4 linked regions of the Arabidopsis thaliana genome follow. The protein of the gene in region 1 interacts with the protein of each later gene in a biochemical or structural test. Each region holds a gene or a part of one and is shown on either strand. Other genes may lie near its edges.

What was found.
Region 2: the proteins of ARR4 (region 1) and PHYB form a complex in vitro, tested with the Arabidopsis thaliana proteins (one study listed by BioGRID).
Region 3: the proteins of ARR4 (region 1) and AHP1 form a complex in vitro, tested with the Arabidopsis thaliana proteins (2 studies listed by BioGRID, with this or other methods).
Region 4: the proteins of ARR4 (region 1) and AHP3 form a complex in vitro, tested with the Arabidopsis thaliana proteins (one study listed by BioGRID).

What each region holds. Positions count from the first base shown.
Region 1 is NC_003070.9:3,441,473-3,446,177, forward strand, and holds ARR4 (response regulator 4), read right to left. Parts: upstream 2,889-4,705; 5' UTR 2,288-2,888; coding exon 2,110-2,287; intron 2,022-2,109; coding exon 1,945-2,021; intron 1,858-1,944; coding exon 1,780-1,857; coding exon of another isoform or gene 1,698-1,779; coding exon 1,627-1,697; intron 1,528-1,626; coding exon 1,152-1,527; 3' UTR 516-1,151; downstream 1-515.
Region 2 is NC_003071.7:8,137,886-8,145,012, reverse strand, and holds PHYB (phytochrome B), read right to left. Parts: upstream 5,251-7,127; 5' UTR 4,935-5,250; coding exon 2,771-4,934; intron 2,683-2,770; coding exon 1,875-2,682; intron 1,785-1,874; coding exon 1,494-1,784; coding exon of another isoform or gene 1,364-1,493; exon of another isoform or gene 1,118-1,363; coding exon 862-1,117; 3' UTR 552-861; downstream 1-551. Other genes in the region: XTH21 (xyloglucan endotransglucosylase/hydrolase 21), read right to left, coding at 1-66; AT2G18780 (F-box and associated interaction domains-containing protein), read left to right, coding at 6,918-7,127. UniProt on the Arabidopsis thaliana protein: Regulatory photoreceptor which exists in two forms that are reversibly interconvertible by light: the Pr form that absorbs maximally in the red region of the spectrum and the Pfr form that absorbs maximally in the far-red region.
Region 3 is NC_003074.8:7,577,163-7,581,306, forward strand, and holds AHP1 (histidine-containing phosphotransmitter 1), read right to left. Parts: upstream 2,628-4,144; 5' UTR 2,376-2,627; coding exon 2,316-2,375; intron 2,091-2,315; coding exon 1,960-2,090; intron 1,868-1,959; coding exon 1,799-1,867; intron 1,695-1,798; coding exon 1,623-1,694; intron 1,535-1,622; coding exon 1,462-1,534; intron 1,330-1,461; coding exon 1,270-1,329; 3' UTR 550-1,269; downstream 1-549. UniProt on the Arabidopsis thaliana protein: Functions as a two-component phosphorelay mediators between cytokinin sensor histidine kinases and response regulator (B-type ARRs). Plays an important role in propagating cytokinin signal transduction through the multistep His-to-Asp phosphorelay.
Region 4 is NC_003076.8:15,746,838-15,751,416, reverse strand, and holds AHP3 (histidine-containing phosphotransmitter 3), read right to left. Parts: upstream 2,687-4,579; 5' UTR 2,624-2,686; coding exon 2,411-2,623; intron 1,922-2,410; coding exon 1,791-1,921; intron 1,710-1,790; coding exon 1,638-1,709; intron 1,546-1,637; coding exon 1,474-1,545; intron 1,375-1,473; coding exon 1,302-1,374; intron 1,223-1,301; coding exon 1,169-1,222; 3' UTR 526-1,168; downstream 1-525. Other genes in the region: AT5G39350 (Tetratricopeptide repeat (TPR)-like superfamily protein), read right to left, coding at 1-488; AT5G39330 (transmembrane protein, putative (DUF1163)), read right to left, coding at 4,410-4,579.

The sequences.
Region 1 (4,705 bases):
AGCAACATATATACAAAAGTTAAAGCTATCCCAAGCTTAATTATATTGGTCGTGGTTTCTAATGTGAAGATCTTACTTGGATCCAAATGGTAAAAACACATGACCATAAAAAAAGAAACACCAAAATGGGTGCCAGAGACAAGGGATCTATAGAGACTATTTATGGAGAAATATGCCCCAAAGGAAGGGAACAAGAGTTGCCCATTTCCAGCTTTGCATTTATTCTTTCTTCCTCTTCCTTCTTTCTTCTTTTTATTTTCTTGCTTACTCTCTACACATCTACACATGCATAATGATGCATCCACTACTTCGTCGTATATTATAAGCATTTTTTTCTTGGGTTAAATATGTATATTCAAAGTTGCATTAGAGCATCGGCTTGTGCATCTCTTTTGGGAAGGATAGAATTGAACGTCATCGTTTCATCTATTCCCTTAGCTTCATTGCAAGGTTGAAAAATGGACCCAAAATTTGGTTTTAATTAACCGCCTTTTATGCATTTATATTTTTATTCTTTTTTACTATAAATTCATATGTATAAGTTTCAAATTTTATGTTTGTAACCTAAATTGTTTTCATTATCTATGAAATATTTATAATTTAGCCAAAAAAATTAGAGCATCGGCTTATAGTCATTAATAGGAGTATTTTGGGTCATAAAACTGATATATATTTATGGAACTGTTTAATGACTATAGTGGATTCAAATGTTACTAGTTGATTTGTATCTGGAAAAAAAAACCTTAGCTCTCTGATTCTTGAATTGTCAGATCTAGCTAACTTTCTGATTATAAAACCCCATATGTCTATGATATTGACTTATTTAGGACCCAATACATAAGAAAAAAACGCATATTCAAGTCTCGTTATCATAATAAATGGTGAATGTCGAAGGTTCGATTGCAATTTTCCCTTTGTTTAAAGACTAAAAAAGTTAAAAACGTAACTTTGTGCAGAAATTAAAATAATTAAAAGATATTCGAAAAGCTTTAAGGAAAAGGAAAAAAGGCCCACGTGGAGGCGCGAGAGATTAAAGGGACATCTATAAAATTTGACGGCGTCAAGTCAACGTGCAATTAAAAACACCGTCAGAGGTAAAAACGAAGTTAACGGAGATAGATAATATTACACGGCATCCCAGAATAGTTCCACTAATCTAATCCGGGACTCCTCATCTTCTGCCGTCGAATCGGCGATTCCTCCGACGACGACGTCAACACGTCATCATCTTCATCGTCTATCGGAGATGAAAGTGGCGAGGTGGAAAAGATCTCCACCGGAGATAACGGCGGAGACGAATCCGACGATTCAGTCGAAACAGTCAACGGCGGCGACGATTCAGGCGAGATAGTCAACGGAGGTGACGGTGGAGGAAGCGAAGAGTTAACGGAACTAGAATCTTCCGGAAGCTTCCGTTTGTTTCCGTTGGAAAGTTTAACGTCTTTAGTTAAATGACTTCTCAGACGTTTCACGTCGGCGAGTTTCACCGGTTTCAATAAGAAATCTTGAGCACCTTCCTCAAGGCATCTGTTCAAAAATCATTTTTTTTTTTTACAAAATTTTATCAAATCAATCAACAGTTTCTAAAAACTCCAAAATCTGTGAAGAAATCAACAAGAATCACACCTGTCGATTCTGGTCAATACATTCTCCGACGACATGATTACAACCGGAACTTCTCTGAAATTGGACGATTCCTGTTTCAGATGACCGGAAAATTCAACATTGTTACTAAAACAACCGTAATCTGAAACAGGAAAATGGCGGGAAAATGCAGACCTTAATCTTCTTGAGAAGCTCATAACCAGTCATTCCAGGCATACAGTAATCAGTGATGATCAAATCAACTTTCAATCTCTGAAAATATCCATTTAAACTAAATCAAACTCACGAATCGTAATCTTCAAAAAAAACAAAAAGCTGTATCAGATTTCAATAACTTACATCGAATTCAGCAGAAGCTTTCTCATTATCTAACCCTAGAAATTCCAGAGCACGCCATCCACTATCTACCGCCGTAACTGACAAACGATACCACCGGAGATGTAAATATTCCGGCGAGGAATAAAAAAAAGTGAAAGATGTTTTTTTTTTTGAAAAAATACGAACCTTTGCAGGAAGTAATACGAAGCAATCTCTCGATGACAATACGATCAACGAGACTGTCATCAACGGCTAAGACATGAACTTCATCTAAATCCAACGGCGCAGATTCAATTCCTCCGATACCACCGACGCTCATCATCTCCGACCTTCGTAAACAAGAAACACCACCGTCTCTGGCCATAGACGAGCTTATAGTAACTGTGAGGAGAGGATGAGAATAAAATAGAGAGAAGAAGACGAAGAAGAAGAGCTCACATCTGTTTTCTTTTGTTCCTTTCTCTTCCTTAAGACAGTTTTTTATATTTCTGATTTTTTTGTTCTCTAAAATAAATCTTTTATGAGTGTGTCTTTTTGGTTTTTTCAATTTTTATTTTGAAAAATCTCCAGCGAGGAAAATCCAACAAAATCTTTGGTTCCTATTAATGTGAAAATTATATATTTTTATGTGCCGTGCTTTTAGGGTTGAAAAAATTGAACTTTTATCTTTGAAAACAATAGTATTAATAAATAGAGATTTTATGGAAAATCCGGTGGAGGGCCTATGCGAATATCATAGAGAAAATAATATTCCTAAAATCGAATAAATAATAGAGGAGAAGAAATCCGTACAAAGGAATCCAAAAAATAAAAATATACCATCGTGAGATATATACAACTTCTTAGTCAAAATCTCGTCATTACTCATTAGTGTGATTGGAAAAAAAAAACTGAAAATGGAATCACTCACTGTTAAGAATAATAAACCAGAAGATTAAAGAAGCTAATTTTGGTCATACACCATTACAATTCATAGTAGCGTGTTTAAACTTAACCGGCTCGGTTCTTCGGATTGGTCTTATTTGTATTAAGTACTAACCACTAAGACAATTTTATATTGTTCCATGTGATTGGTCAGTTTCTAATTTAAAATTTATGGTTCAAATGCAATTCATAGAATAATATTAAGATCGGGTTTTGTGGGTTGACGAGAAAATTAGTATACGCCTAACTAGTAGTATATCCATCCATATGACTCTAGAAATTTTATGTTATCCAAACACTTTTATTTATATCGTTTTCAAATGGCAAAAAAAAAAAAAAGAAGAAGAGGAAAGTGGACAAATAATAATAAAAAAAAAGGATTTGACGTCCACATTAAAATTTGGATCCGCGGGACCCAGGGAAATCTAAAAGAGGGACCCATAAATATTTTGTTGGGAACAATTTGTATTAATGAAAGGGGGAATTGGACTTTACCTCTCTTCTTCTTTTTTTTCTTTAATCTTCCAAACATAATTTGCTGTTTCACTCTTTTAGACACCACACCGTATCAAATCTTGGAGATCGCTTTTGCTTTCTCTTTCCCACCCATTTATTATATTTTTTTATATAAAATATCATTATTATTTCTTTTTGTTGAAAGGGTAAATGTTTTGATTTTCTATTTTATTTTTAAAAATTTTATGAAAATGTTATGACAATATAGGTGTTTTTAAAAATCTCTTGATAATAAAGAGCTACTATTAAGAAAAAATAGGTATATAAACATGAGAACAATAAATATATATAATGATTCTTTGGCTCTTTATTTTTTCTAGAGAAACAAATTTATTCCAGATTGAATGTAAACTAAAGACGACCAAATCCAATACTATGACATTTTCCTACTTAAAGTTAAAGCTCAAAAGATCAGGTTTCAAGGTTGCTTAGAAGTTATCGATCACAGTCGTGGATGATCAAAGTAGAGTTTTATCAAAAGACTTTTGTTTCTTCTAATTGATAGTGTCTCTAATTTAATCGTTTTTCTACATTAACCAAAAACATCTAACAAAGTAGAAAGAAAAATGACGCGTGAAATAGACAAATCTTACAATGGATATATTGCCCATTTTTATAAAATAATTACGCGAAATTTAAGATTGATTTGAGAATTGATTTTTCAAACGATATGGGCCAACGAATGATGGATCAAATCTTCATGATGTCAACTCAAAATCGAGGGTTGAACAAAAAAATCCATAAAAGTAGTCATCAACGTGTCGCACATAAAATCGTAATCTATCTTTTTTCTAGGAACTTTGGACATCAATTACAAAATTAAAGACATTGACATTTTCCCTTTAATTAATTTTATGTTGGTACTCGATTGAGGTTTGGAGCATCTTTATATTCTAATCATTATTGTAAATATTTTCTACATAGTATAATATATTTGTAGAAATAAAAGTAATTGATTAGTTGACCTAATTATACAATACTCAAAATCATGTACACTTGAATATTTTCATTTTGACGTCTAGATTTTGTTACAGGATCAATGGATCATATAGAAACTCAATTTTAGTCTATACGTACATGGAAATATAGTTGAATCTCAAATCCGAAAATCCAGATTAATGTCAACATAAGCTCATATCTAATCTACAAAGCATTTGTTGGATAACATAGATTGGTCTTTCTCCTTCCTTGGTATCACTCTTATGTTGTCTGAGTTATATCTCCTATCCTATTGATTCTTAGACTTTTTTGTGAGCTAGTAATTATTCTCTTCCAAATTGTGCTCTCTAGCTTTATGTATCAAAAATTTCACCATCAATATGAGGCCATGTTGATCTCGATG
Region 2 (7,127 bases), on another chromosome or scaffold:
AACAAGCAATATGCTTAAACCAAGAAAGAGAGATATTGACATAACCAAAAGTGTACTAGAAACCATTATAAGTTTTGAAGGTTTTAGGTGGGTTTAAGGGTTTGAATTGGGTTTGAGACATTTAGAAGGCTATTGATTGGTGAGTATTTATAGAGCATATATAATGGAGTTTTGATTCCTTAATGATTAGTTATATATTGTTAATATTTCAGTCTTTGAGCTTTACTTTAATTTTCTTTAAGAAAAAAGGTGAGTTTAGTGTGGGTAATGTGAAAAACGAAACAGCCTGGAGAGCATACACATCAAAACTATAGTGCGATACATCATAAACATTAAATTAACTATTGTTAATGTGTTACATCCTAAGCTTAGCCAGCCTAATTTAAACATCTCACTTTTTATATATATAGTGGAGTTTGTAAAATTTCAACTTTTTGGACGGTACCATTTCATCATAAATCTTTTAAAATTAATGTGATTGGCCTTTACCTCTTGATTGCGTAGACAGACTAATTGGATATAATATGATTTATAAATGGTTAACAATCAAATAATAATTTTGAATTGATGTAACGAGTAACAAATTAAAAGGATTGGTCATCGATTAATATGCTCTCTTCTTATCTCATTGTTTTGTTTCTCTCGGAGTTGTCAATTTACACAGCACAAACAAAAGTCTTGAAATTCTCTACAACTACTGTTACGTTTTTTTTCCGGCGAGCTGAGCTGAACGCAAATAATCTCCCTCTTCTCTACTAATCTCACCGGAAACAAAAAAAAAACTTTCTATCCTCCTCCGACGTCGTTAGACACACAAACACTCATACAATGATACAAACTCTCATACCAACTGAAGTGTGACTAATATGGCATCATCAGCATCATGTCACCACTTCCACTAGCAGTTGACAATGGTCGCTTTCGAGGTACAGGGAGTTCCAGAATGATGAGGAAATAGGACCGTTCTGATTCTCGGATGTATTGAACCTCACCGTTCATTAGCTTTAAAATCTTTCGACATACGCTTAGACCTAAACCTTCAGGGCTTGTCCACCTGCTGCTATGGAACATGTCTCGGACTAGCTCTGGAGGCAGACCTTCACCTGGACACGCCATTCTGCAAACAACGAATAAAGACATAACAAAGACACCAACACATGAAACCCAAGTTTTACACTTTTGAGCTGGTTTTCATCAATTTGAAAACATTACATTCCTTGACTGCTAATTCTAGGCCTATGGATGTGTCTAAAAGTTCCCAAGTCGACTAAACCGAATACAAAAATCAAACTAATCTAGGTTCCAACTAAACAATAACCAAAACAAATAGTGAATTGGTTAAAACCTCAAATTCTTTAAACGCCTAAATCAAATTCGTAATTAACCAAACCAAATTCATTTTCTTTATGTACAAAATAAGGAACCAAAAAAACCGGATTGCATAATTTTGGTTATGGATATGTGGAGACAACAGCGGGAACAATGAAATGTACCTGAATTCTGTGCGGATGGCGGCGAATCCATCAGCCATTTGCTTTGAAAGTTGGCTTAAATGGATCTCCACCCACTCTTGAGATGGTGCATACCGGATTATACTCAGCAGAAACTCAGCCAGGAGCTGTTGAATCCTTATCTGGTCTCCAAAAACCTCTATTGATTTGATCTCTTCGGGAATGTCACGGATCAGCTGAAGACCTCTGTCCCTTAATAAGAACATCGCTTGACTTACAATCGCGTTTATGACACTTCCAAGGAAAAACTCTTCCCTCTTTAGCACAAATGAACTGATCAATGAAAAAAACAAAATTTGGGATTTGGTCACATTTTGTGAAGTAAGCAAAACTAGCTTCTAGATAAATTCTAACTATACTCACCCGTCTTCAATGCTTTCAAGATCCATGTCCCCGACGATCCTTGAGATCTGTTTCTCGCAAGAAACACTTGTTTCAAGTAACTGCTTCTGGTCCTCGTTCAAGTCTGTGGCCTCCAACAATGAGTTTGCGAAACGCATACCGCTCAAAGGATTCTTTATCACCTGACAAATATAAGCCAACTCTTTTGCCTTCGTGAAACACTCTGTGTCCTGCCTCCGTTGGACTGCTAAAGCTTGCTGCAGCTCAGGGCTCGGGATTTGCAAGAAACAGAAAGCCCCAATAACCTTTCCCTCGAGGCTAACCCGCTTGTTTGCAGTCAATAGAGCCTGAACAAACTTCCCATTGCGGTCAAAGAATGGGAAAGGGAACTTATCCGTATCTTGGCCACCAATCGCATTATGCAATACAATCATGAACTTGGTTAAAGCATCAGGACCCTTTAGCATGCAACAGCTCCCAAACACTTCCCCGACAATCATTTTCCCAATCACTTCACTGCGAGACCAACCCGTAAGCTTTTCCATCGCCATGTTCCATTCCAGGCAGCACGTGTTCTCGTCAGCAGCAAAAATTGGCGGGATTAGAGGGTTTGGGCTATGTACAATAGCCTTGTAATCTCCTTGTATGTTGATGAACTTATCCATTACGATTTTCTGACTAGTAACGTCTTGTCCAACAAAACAAACGCCGACAATGTTGTTCAAGTAGTCCTTGCTGGAACAAGCATTCACAACCACAAAAACTGCTTTCCCTTGTAGTTCGGGGCTGAAAGTTTTCAGCTTAACCTCCACATTCTTTTCCTCGTCCCCTGCATTGCCAAATGCAACAAAATAATCAAATACCCGCGAATTGGTATATACACCGCAGATACAACATAGCTGAAGAACTGAATATACCTCTCAAAGCACGAGAAAGAAGCTTATTGACAGTTGCTTCATTCTCTTTGTATATTAAATCAGAAACCAGAGACTTCCCCATAGCTTCTTCAACTGAGAGACCTGTCAACTCTGCAATCTTAGCGTTCCATCCATTGATGCAGCCTCCGGCATCCACAGCGAATATAGGAACAGTTGCAGTCTCAATGAGCCTAACCATCTCTCTTGCAACTGCACCTAACTCATCAATCCCCTGTTCCCCCGCCATATCCCTACATGGCTGAACCACACCATCCACAACTTTAGAGTTCATAGCCGCCTCAGATTCTTTAAAAGAGTCTCTCAGAATAAGCTGGAGCGAGTGAATCGCATCCATTTCCGCAGTTTCCCATGGCTGACTCCGGCTCTTAACAACTTCAAGAAAAGCCTGAAAGGACGAACGAGGATGCATTCGTTGCCCATCATCTTTATCCTCCGGATGATGCTTAGCGCCTCCCCATTTGATTTCTTTCGCAGTGTGAGATCGAAACCAAAAAAGAAAGTCTCTTTTTGTGATATATGCAACTGCCATACCGCACACAGCATCCCCTAACGCAGCTGCACCGGGATACCCCGCATCGCCTAAACTATCAGTGCTTAATCCGGTTGAATCCGCATGATTCGCAAGCAACCACTCCACAACATCTTTTATCTGAACTTCACTAGGAGCAACACCCAACGGGTAATACTTCCCGTGGTAAAGAAATGCTGCACCGTCACATTTCACTAAGTCCATGATACTGGGACTCTGTGTAACAATTCCAGCAGGCGAGTCACGCAGAAGCATATCACATAACAGTGTCTGCGTTCTCAAAACGCGTTTCTCTGACATTTGCAAAGCTAACTGCAATTCCATGTTTAACTGTAAACCGAAAGCCTGCATCAAAAACTCACAAGCATACCTTAGCGGAAACGGTATGCAGCGAGAAGAAGTGTGATGGCAAACAACCAAACCCCAAAGCCTCATCGAGCTTCTTCCACTAGCTACATTGCTCCCATCATCTTCATTTCCATTGATTATAACCGCCATTGCTAAAGACGCAATAGATCCCATGTTAGCCATATACTGAGAGTGACAACCATGAGGAGCCCTAAGAGTAGAACCAACCAAGCACATAGACTGAGTTAGCCTATCGTCCTGGACCACAAGAACAGGTGTGGCATTGCAATCTACTATCATTCGGACACGGTTCTGCTTAAACAAGAACCTTGACGCTTGAGGAATATCAGTAGCAGGATAATGCAGTCCAATATAAGGCTCTAAATCATCTCGTTTACTCTCAGCTACAACTTCTCCATGCTCATCTTCATGAAACTTATAAACCATAACACGATCATAACCAGTCAAGTCCCTCACACTTTCCACGACAGTGTCACACAAAAGCTTAATATCTCCACCAGGAAGAGCCTGTAACTGAGAAATCGCACGAACCGCGAGTTTCTGCGATTGAACAGCACCAGCAATAGAAAGCGCAGGATCTTCAGTTCTAGCTGGCTCTAAATCAATAACAACACCAACATCAATCCTATGAAGAATGGCGTAAAACGGTTTACCAGTATTCTTGGAATGGATCCAAACCGGATTTAACAAGGTAATCTCTCGAGCAACGAAAGCACGCTCGAGTAGAATCGAGCTCGAAGAAGTGAACAAAGATCTCACATCAGTTCCCATAGCTAGAATCTCAGGTTTCTCAAGAGTAGGAACAGATTGAGGCATAATCCCTAACATTTCTCTGGCGTTTTCACTGTAACCGATGATCCGGAAACTGGATTCATCGACGGCGATCATACATCCGAAAGGCTGAATGTAACCACCTCGCTGGATTCGAGAGAGATAAGCTGTGATCTGTTGCTCAGGTACAGAGGAACCGTACGTCGTCGTTTTGAGTGATTGTGAGTAGTCGAATGATTTCCCTGATTCGCCGGATTGTTCGAAAACGGCGTGGAGTCTTGCGTCGACGGTGTACTGTTGAATTGCTTTGCTCATTGATTCAGTGTTGCTTCTTGGTCTGAGAGATTTCGTTCCCGACGATTGAGCTTGTTCTCCTCCTCTTCGGTTATTAGGAGTGTGACTTGACGACGGTTCTTCTTCTCCGCCACGGCCACCGCCACGGCCACCGCCACTACCCCCGACTCCGGAAACCATGCCGTTTGATTTTGAATTTGAGAAATTTCTCAGAATTACCTTGAGACAAGGAAGGATTTAGGGTGAATCATCATCCACTAGTTATCGGAGACGAATTCTGGTAGAGCTAAATTCTCAAGAATTTTGAACTTGAGGAAGAAGAAAATGGGGAGAATTGAGATCGGAGATAAGTGGAGAAACCAATAAAATAAATTGAAGAAGACGAAGCAAAATGTGTGCCTCTCAGATAGAGAGAGATAACAAAAAAAAATCAGAGTTTTTTTTTTTTTTGTCGTCTTCGCTTTTTGTTTCCTCATATATTTTCTGCGACTTTTTTTGTGTGGCGATTTTAGCAAATTACCTTTAAAGTTTTGATATTTATCAATTTAACCCAGAAGAGCTTTTGTTTTGTCGTTTAATGTGAGGGAGAGATTGATTGGGCCCAAGATCACGTGGGCTAATGGTTTATTCTCTCTAGTGGCCACACGTGGTTGCTGGGCCCATTGCGCGTGGGAGGGAGCCCCTGGACTTGTCGAATCGCATCATCAATTACGATTTCGAATTCGTACTATACAAGTTTGGTTTCTTCAATATCTTATCGTGGGTCAAGTCAACCAAGTGGTGTCCTCTCTATACAAATATTGAAATGTTTTATACTCTCATCGTACGTATATACTTCTCATAATTTGTACTAGATAGAATATAGAATCACATATTGGTCTCAAAGGGGTTCGAAGTAGTATTAGCACGCTCCATGCGGAATAGAATCATAAATTTTGCATAGTAAACTCGTCTAATACATAAGATATATTTTGGTCCACTTTGATATATACGTTGGATCTATATCATTACATTTTGTATAATACATGCATTGTACTACTTAGCATTACGTTTTATTGAATATATGCAATTCTTTTTTGACATATTAATGATTCTAAATTTGGATTATTTGGTGAAAGCATACAATTATGGTGCTTCGAAAAAAGAACATAAAATAAATTAAAGTAATGATAAAGAGGAAAAAAAGAGAGCAGAAAAACATATAAATGAGAAAAATCGTGTGCATGAAAAGTTAAGGGTCCATTACATAAATGATTTTGGGCCGCTCACAGTTTCATGTTAAGTCACTGCGTTCGTCCTTTTCTTTTGTTGAATGACTAATTTCTCCATCTCGTGTTGTTTGTTTTCAAAGCTCTATCATAATAAGTTAAGTATAACCGACCACTTTTTCTTTTTAACACTATTACATATATAAACATCCATGTTACCATGTATGAAGACAAAAACGATTATCTTATATACCCATAAAATATTATGGACCAAAAGTGAATAGTGAAAAGAAAACAGAAAAAAATTGGAATGACAAAAGAAAAACACACTATTCGTTGACAAAACAAAAGTTTAAATGTTTATTAGTGAGTAATGACCTCATATGTTTTGGTCTTATCTTGGACGAGATATGATTGGATGTCCACGAATTTAATCATGTACCTGTTCGCACTAGAGTGTACTAGTTCGTTGGCTAAGAATCGTCCACGTACAATAGTTTTAAACCACCAGTAATTTACCACGTGCCACTGAAATCAAATTAGCTAATAAACTACTCAATTACCAAATCACCCTTATAAACTCTCAATGATTCTTTAGGCTTGGCTGCTAATTTCTTAAAACTTTTGCATAACTTTTGCATAAATAAGAATAAGACAAAAGATGAAATTAATATAAGGGTACAATCGTAATTCAAGAATTTCCAAAATTCGTTCTTTAGTATAACGAAGAACTAGCTAGACATTATTAGGCATTGGGGCATACTTTAAAGCCCAAAACTAAGCCCTCCCATACTAATAAATCAGGAGCCCAAATTGGAAAAAACGACTTTAATAGCCTTTGGGTAATACTTTAAAGCCCAAGCCCAATTTAGAAACATCTAACATTTCTGAAGTGTTCGTTCTCTCATAATCTCTGAAGAAATCAGAGTAAAAGGTAAAGTAAAATTTCTTCGATATGCAAAAACAATCAACGACGATGCTCTCGGATCTTCCAAAGGATGTGGCGGAGGAGGTGCTCTCGAAGTTTCCAGTGACATCTCTGAGAAGAGTACGATTCACATGCAAAAAGTTGAACACTTTATCCAAAGATATGTCTTTTACAAGGAAGCACATCGATAAAGAAGAAGCAAAGAAGAAGCAGAGTAAGGAGTTTCATGTTGTGATG
Region 3 (4,144 bases), on another chromosome or scaffold:
CTTTCAAATCTACACAAAATATACGTAGCGTAACCTAACACATTAATGAATAATGATGCATGTATAATGTGTTTCATGTGTGTTGAAAGTTGTAACTAGTGATTTAGACTACAGATAGGAGAAAACTTAATGGAATTATTCAACCTATCTCTTGTCTTGATTACTGATTAGTCTTCTTCTTCTATGCATATATTTTCACCAAAACATGCTTCCCTTTGGATACTATGCATGTTTGAAACAATAAAATAGGAATAAGATATTGATTATAACCAAAAAAAAAAAAGTGTTATTTACCCTATGATCCTTATTTAAATTTGTAATCGATAATAACAAGGTGGAAGAACATATAAACATCATATTTTTGTCATATTGCATAATTAATGGTATGGTTCATTATACATACGAAATTACGAACTGGAAATCTTAATTATTATTGAAAAGACAAAAAGGTCACTTGAAAACAAAATTAAACAGAAGGTACAATTAAAGGAACTAGTAAAGTTATGAACAAACGATGAAGGGAACGCTCATTCTTTACCCAAAAAAGTTCAAATAAAAAAGATGGAGCACTAATTAATACGAGTATAGAGCAATACAAAGTTATAAGTGGTAAACTAGAAGTCTAGAAATCGAACATGAGGTTATAAATTGGAGCCATATATAGTCGACGACAGGTCACGGATCTGTAAGTAATTAAGAATTTTGTCATTATTTTATTTTTAGCTACATTATTTAACGTGCACTCACATAGTATAACTTTATTTTTTTCTTAATTGCATTGTATAAATGTCTGAAAATCTTTAGAGATTCGTCGAAGTGCAATCGTAATAAAAAAAAGATTTCCAAGATCATCATGGATGTTTAGTACGGGCCCTTTGTTATCATCTTGGGCTACTAAAATTCATATGGCCCATCTGTGTTCTTTGGTCAAGGACTACAAGACTTCTAACTACTTCTAACAGTTACAGTAAAACAACAACCTAATACCTAACCAAGTTGTCCGGATCACATTACCTTGATGCGTACATTATCTTGATCAAACTCTATATAATTGTAGTCATGACTCATGACTATATGTTTGCTTGAGATCTTATTTTACATATGTGGGATTTAGATGTGGATTAAGAAACGTTTTAGCATGTCTCACTCTTCCAATGGCACAAAGAAAGAAGTTCACATAAGAACCTTTTTTTGATAGTCACATAAAGAGAGGAAGAAGAGAGAGTCCAAAATGAAACAACAATGGACAGAGATGTTTATGAAATTCACTCAAAATCCGAGTTCGACGGCCGGGATCATTCCACCAGAAGCTACAATCTGTTGCTCCAGCTGCATAGATTCGATCATCAAAACCAAAATTGAATCAGATAAGTTTCAAATGTTGATCAAAATATTGTATAACTAGATAAGAGTTATGTGGGTGGTTTTATAAAAAAAAAAAAAGTCTCTTTGACTTTTTACCTTGAACAGAGTCTCTAATCTGTTTTTCACAAGATAATACTCTTGCTTCACTTGTTGCAAACATCTATGACATCTGAAATTTTTCAACGATGTATTTTCCTAATCAGATCTTAAAACAAAGAAATAACGAATGGACCAACGAACATATCGATTAAACTCACGCTTCGACATTTTGCTGCTCGCAGAAGCTGCGGAAGACAACACAAGCATTCTTAACTCTCTGTGCTCCTATACTGTTATTTTTTGGCAATATATATTGTTACACATTTCAAGATCAAGAAAATGTCATTATCATTGGATTAAAATCAGAAATAGCCAGTTTTGTTTTTGTTGTTACCTGGAGCTGCTACCTTTGAGTTGATGAACATGGGGATCAACTTTTTTAAAGTCTACAACTTGTTGATCTCTGCCCGAAGCATAAAAAAACAGTGAGAAACACAAGTTTTGGAAAAGAACAAAAAAAAAAAGATTAAAGAGAGAATGTGTAAAGAAGATTACAGGGAAAGTGAGAGATCATTGAGAATCCTATCAGAGTCTTGGAAGAAGAGTGTGACAACTTGTGAAACAAAATCTGGATTGCTTTCATCTTGTAGTTGTTGCAGCTGCAAGAACTGGCTGTCCAAAATCCCCTTTTTTGTATTTACCCAAAACAAAAGACTTTCCATAATCAGAAACTAATTTTACATAACCTAAACTCATGATTATCTTACCAAAGAAACTACAAAAGCCTAACACATTTTTACTATAAGTCCTAAAACCATTTTTACTACAAGTCCTAAAACCAGAAAGAAAAAGTTGTGAACGTTAAAACAAGTTTTCTGATTATTTGATCTTTTCAAATGTGAAAAACTTACTTCTAAGAAGAGTGATTTGGTGTAATCTTGCAAACTCTTCTGCTTCTGAACCAAATCCATATTCTCTGTTATTTGCTTTTGTTCTTTATTTCTTTGTTTCTCTCTGCCAATAATGGAGGTAAGAAAATGTCCAACAAAATCCTCAGTACTTAAAAGATGAGAACAAAATCCTCCGTATCAAAAAACCCTATTTTTTAAATTTAAATAGTTTGTATTTTATTATTACAATTTTGGTTTGGATGTGAGAAAAGAATCCAAAAAGAAAGAAACTCTTAAAGAATGGAAGTTGGTCGTGCTGTCAACTGTCTAACCATTCGCGCCTTTTTTTCCTCGTTTTTTTTGCAAATGTGATAAAGACATAAGAAGAGCATTTGATACTTCTTGATTTGTCTTTTTTTTTCTTAAGATTTTAAAACATTTTATTGGTTCGAATATTTAAATTACTGTACTACTGATGAAAAGCATATACTAATATGCACAGCTCGCATTCAATGTATCTTTCAAATAGCATCTCTAGGGAAACTTTATTTGTAATATAATTTTGATTTGATCCTCATTGTTTTTGTCCAACTAGCAATTCTTTTATTATAATAATACATTGATTGGTTAGTTTATTTTATATTGATGTATCACAAATATCGTAACGTAATGGGTTTATCAAGGAAATTGTGACTTTGAGAACTCAAATGCCGCCTAACACTTTGTAATGTTGTTCAAAACCAAAACTAAATGCAGCTTATAATTTCTTTAGTCATATATCTCGTCCAATCATTTGGTGGAATTCTTATTAAACTAGGATTTATCATATTTTGTGTTATACCAATATTTTTCATTATAATCAACCACTTATCACAATTCAAATGTTTTTTCGTGATTTCTCAAAGCTTTTCTATTTACTCGTTTGTCACTTGCTCTATAAATTTCTTTCAACTAACAATATTTCAAAACAACCTAACAATATATATGCAATAGCTCATATCCTTTCAATCTTTCATAGAGTACTACATACAATATATTTTTACGTAACATTTTCAACTACAACGATCAGCACACCAGTCTCATCTTTTTCAACCACACTATTTCTTCATTTGCATATCCCTGGTATTTTCGTCACTCCAAATACTTTCCCAATCATACTCATACACACCATTCTTATCTATTTCCTCATGCACAGTAAAATGACAATTTTTTCCTTAGACAATTCGTATTTTCAATAACAATTTCAACACGTCAAGCCAAAATAAAAATAGTAAATTAGTTTCACTGTATTAATTTCTGCAAATTTGGGTAAACATCAACGCTTTGACACGTCTCACATGATGAATGGACATGGGACATGCAAGAACGTAGGATGCGTTTAACGAATGGCATAAAACGTATTATATATACTAACTAACCAAAGATTATTAGTGGTTCTTACTTGATAATGGGTCCATCGTAAGAAGGTTCCATCACTAATTATGGACCTTTCAAATCTTATTATGAATTTTGATATCTTACATTATATTATCTCCGTATAAAAGTTAAACTGTGCTTCCTTAGTTTTTAACAAATTTATACGTAAAAAGTCAAGAAAGAGTTTGCACTCACCCATATCTCCAAGCAATTTATTATAAGAAAATCCTTATAGCCAATAGCCATATCAAGTTTTTAAAAAGGTTTAAAGCTAGAATACAAGTCGCTGTAGACGCAGCCAAATACGATATTATTTACTAAAAACAAATAAAAGGTAAACATGCAGAACGAGTTAGTCGATTTGTTGGTTCACTGCCAATTTCAGGTTAAGTTCAATTTACACAAGTAAAATAAATTAGTTGTCAATTTTATCT
Region 4 (4,579 bases), on another chromosome or scaffold:
ATATACATCGCTAACAACGCGTTCTGCACATACTTATCCCTACCAAACCAACTCCTCAAGATCCTCCCATGAACAACCAACCCCAATTTCATCGATTTCAATTCTCCAGCAGCTTTAGCAACAAAAGGGTATGTATAACCATCCGGAACACACTTAACCCCCTCACTAACCATCCTAATAAACACGCTAATCGCATCGTGATACAATCCTTCACGCACGTACATTCTAATAACAATGTTATAAGAAAGCAAAGAGCTTTGAGGCATTTCCTCGAACAGCTTCCGTGCATAAGTGATGTGACCACATAACGCATAAGTTACGGAGAGAGTCGAGAGAATGTGGCCGGAAACTCGACCGCCGGTGATGACGTGGCAGTGTAAAGCTTTGGTTTTTGAAATTGATTGAGTAGCTGCAAAGTGATTCAAGAGAGATTGGTATTGCTTGACGCTACTAAGTGCGTTGTTGGCTCTGCGCAAAACTTCACTCATTTAAAGAAAAAAACGACTGTTGAAAAATCTATTGGGTCGCAATTTTTTAAAAGCAACGACATATCTAACCAAACTGCGTGACGTTTGTATTTTACAGTGAGAAATGCTTGACGTTTTCTTATTTTACAGTAAGAACTGCGTGACGTTTGTATTTGACAGTGAGACTGCGTTGACGTTTTGTATTTCACAGTGAGAACTGCGTGACGTTTTCTTTCTTAACATTAGCTGATGGGTTTAACTTTAGGTTTCAGCTTTCACAGGGGACACTTGTGAGTGTTTGTTCTTGGTTTGTTCCTTTTGCCAATGTCTTCGTGAAGCTTTTTGCTTTCAGAGTCTATTCTTTTGCGCGTTGTCTTGTGTAGCTCTCCTTGAATTTTCTGCTTCTTATGATGCTTCTGTGTCTGGAAATATTCCTGTTTTTGAATACATAACTCACTCTTGTTCATATGGTCTTATGAGATGCAAATTCATACTATTCAGATAAGATCAGTACCAAGATTCAAGAGATGATGATACAAAAGATACATAGTATTGATCTATGAACAACAATCACCTCTCTTTTCCACACATTCTCAAGAGTTTTTTTTCTTTTTCGAAGCAACAAATTCGAGTAGTACTCGTCTGAAGAATGCAACTGGATGATCATCATCTTGCTGTTCTGTTGTCGATAGGTCTATTGTTTATATATCCACTTGAGGGATTCTACCACCAGCTTGGACAATCTGTTGCTCAAGCTGCAACAAAACAATGCAAGACTTATTCACGAAATTCGAAAGCAAAAAACCGACACAATTCACGTAGCTTTTCACTCACATTGAACAGATCTTGAAGCTTTGCTTTTAATGTCTTGTACTCAATATCCACTTGCTGCAAACATCTCACACACCTATAACAGAGATTGTTTCCCAAATTAGTTTCAACAATCAAATGAACATAGCAGAAATTTGAGATTCTCTTAAAGAAGAACCGGAAAACAAAAGCTTACCCTTCATAGTTCTGAGAGTCGCAACACTCCTTGAGGGTAACACAAAGACCTTTGACTCTCTTGGCACCAACACTTCATAGAACAACAAGAAAGGAGCTCTTCACTGAGACTAGATCCGAGATTAGACTAAAGGACCGAGACTATACAGATCAAATGTGACATACCTTGAGCTACTACCTTTGAGTTGATGAACACTAGAACCTACCAGTTTGAAATCTACATTTCCTGTCTGATCTCTGAGTATACATATGAACCAATCATTAAACCATATCTGCTAGCTTTTGATGATTAAACTCGTAAAAGAAAAGTAAACTTACAAAGCTCTAGCCATATTACTGATAAGCTTCTCACAGTCTTCAAAGAAGAGAGTAACAACCTCAGCCACAAAATCAGGACTACATTCATCTTGCAGCTTTTTCAATTCTGTGAATTGATCATCCAAAAACCCCTTTACAAAACCAACACAAAGAATCTCAGAAACCCATTTCACAAAATTCCCAATTCCAAATACAAGCTCCAAGTACCCTAAAAACAGTAGAGAGTAGTCATCCCTAAAAAGAAGACAACTTTGAAAAAGAGACAATAACCCATTTCACAGACCCTAAACCCAATTCCCAAAATCCCCAATTGCCATATACAAGCTTCAATAAGAACCCTAAAAACGTAACCACAAATTCAAAGTTTGCTTCACCAGAAAAGTAATCACTTTGAAAGGAGACGACTTTGAAAATGGAGACAATAACCCATTTCACAATCAGTAAACCTAACTCTTAAATCCCCAGTTTCCAATTTAAAAGCTTCAATAAGAACCCTAAAGACTGTGGAGAGCCATCTCTAAAAAGGAGACTTTAAAACTCAACCACAATTTCTAAGTTCTCTTCACAAGAAAGTTAATCACTTTTATCCTGAATCTCTAAGGAGAGATGCTAAAATTTACCTGGTGATAGAGACTAATGGTGAAATCACAAAATCGTCTCTGTAACTGAGCAATGAGTGTGTCCATGGCTCTCTCTACTCGTCGTGAAGGCAAAAGCAGAGAGAAGAAGAAGATGTAAAGTTTGTTTGAAATTGCAATCCCAATAAAGAGATTCTTACAGATCATCAAATTTGGACAGAAATAAATAAAGAAATAGTCACAAAGCTTTTCCATAAAGGGCAGAGAAAAAGAATTAGAATATGATTAGTTGTCAAAAAGACAACTTTTACAAGTGAGAAACATTGATTTAGGCCATAAAAAATGGAATCTCTAATTCATGATTGATACATTCATTCATTCACTCAAAGTTTTTAGCATTTTCCAATGTTAGGTATGTTTCTGTTATGTCAATCCACCAACACTAAGAATCTCTCACGCTGGAAGATTCTCTATAGACAAGTTCATTTGAAGCATTACCGTGTGGACAAGACTGAAGAACATTGGTTCTATTCTTTTGACATGAGCTTCAGAGAATCATATACTCTCATCAACTTGACCTCATGAAAACAACTTATAGTGGCAGATTTTGCTGTTTATGACAAACTAAAGGGTTTTTTGCACTAATATTAAGTTGTTTGGTAACATACTTATTAATATTATATCGTAGAGGCATTTAGAGTTCTTTCTTACCAAAATACTCTACCTTCTTTTTTTTTGCTATAACAGATTTTGATATTGGACTTGTTTTTTCGGCTGTTTAGATCTTTTTTTGTTTGAGTGAAATGTTTTATTTTTCAATTTGTTGGAAACAACTAATATGATCGCGAGTGTCATTTTGAGAGTTGCGGAGGCAGCGAGCTGGCTATATAGTAAGGTCAAAGGAGGTAAATCTGGCTTTATTCGGTAACACATCTAAGTTTAGACATCGAAAGCAAGAACTTTTGTTTAGAGGCATTCACATTTAAACTAGGAAACTTTGGGTGAGAAGTCCACACGTCTTGGCTATATATGAATTGCTAAGCTGAAGCAATATGAGGTGTTACATACCTCCTGCAAAATTAAGGTCTATATAATATAACTAGAGCCACCCCAAGCAAAATTAAACAATGGTTGTTAGCGCCAACAAATTTGTAAGGTTTATTTAGAAAATATTAGCATATATAAATGGTATAACTTATGGTGAAAGATTCATATATATGCTTAGGATAGTATATAATGATTAAGAAAACAAAGTGTAAAATTATAAGTGTTAAATCTTGGTGACCTGAGTTGAGTTGAGAATTGAGTTGTGAGATTAATACCAAAGAAAAAAGTGACCTGACTTGGATCTTAAAATCTTTCTCTTTTTTTGATGAGACGGATCTTAACATCTCTCTCGTTTATTGGTAAGGATCTTAACTACTCTCTTTAATTTAGTAAATATTAATTTAAAGAGATCTAAATGTCCCAAAATCTTAATAAAATTATAAAAAACTCCAAAAAAGAACATTCGGTCCGTGTGTAGCTATGTTCGGATTAAACGTTTTTAATAGGTAGGTATTGGATCACCCCATGCTTAGCAAATTTTTAAACACTAGATATATATATACAAATTTACTATCACAACACAAAAGATAAAGATCCACCTTTGGGAGGGCAGACCATGCACCACACCATTAATTAGAGATCTTGCATGCATATTGATCTCATAGATGCAACATTTGTGGAGAATGAAAATACCATCCCAAAAATTGAATATCATGGAGGAAAATAATTGCAACTTGTCCGTCAAGGATAAATGCCTCGTGTAGAAATCATCATAACACCACGTACAACTCCATGATATTGCTCTAGAACATATCTATTGTTCGTAAAGAGAGAGAATTAAGAATGTTCAACACTTAACATCTAGAAGAAATATATTCCATTAATTAATTTATAGGAATTTAATTTAGGTAAAGCAAGTCCATATCAAAACGCAAAAGAATTTAGAAAGTCCATCATTTGACAAACTAAAGAACAAACTATTGATGAAAAGTACTTAGCGAAGATAGCGGCAAATAGGGTGGTCTCCAAACAAAGTTGCATTCCTTTGAGAGCCAGGCTCGAACCTTAACATGGCTTCATCACACGCATAGTTCATCTTTCCACTTGTCCCATATCTACAATCCGGAAGAAGCAATCGCGATCGGAACCTTATTTCACCTTTTT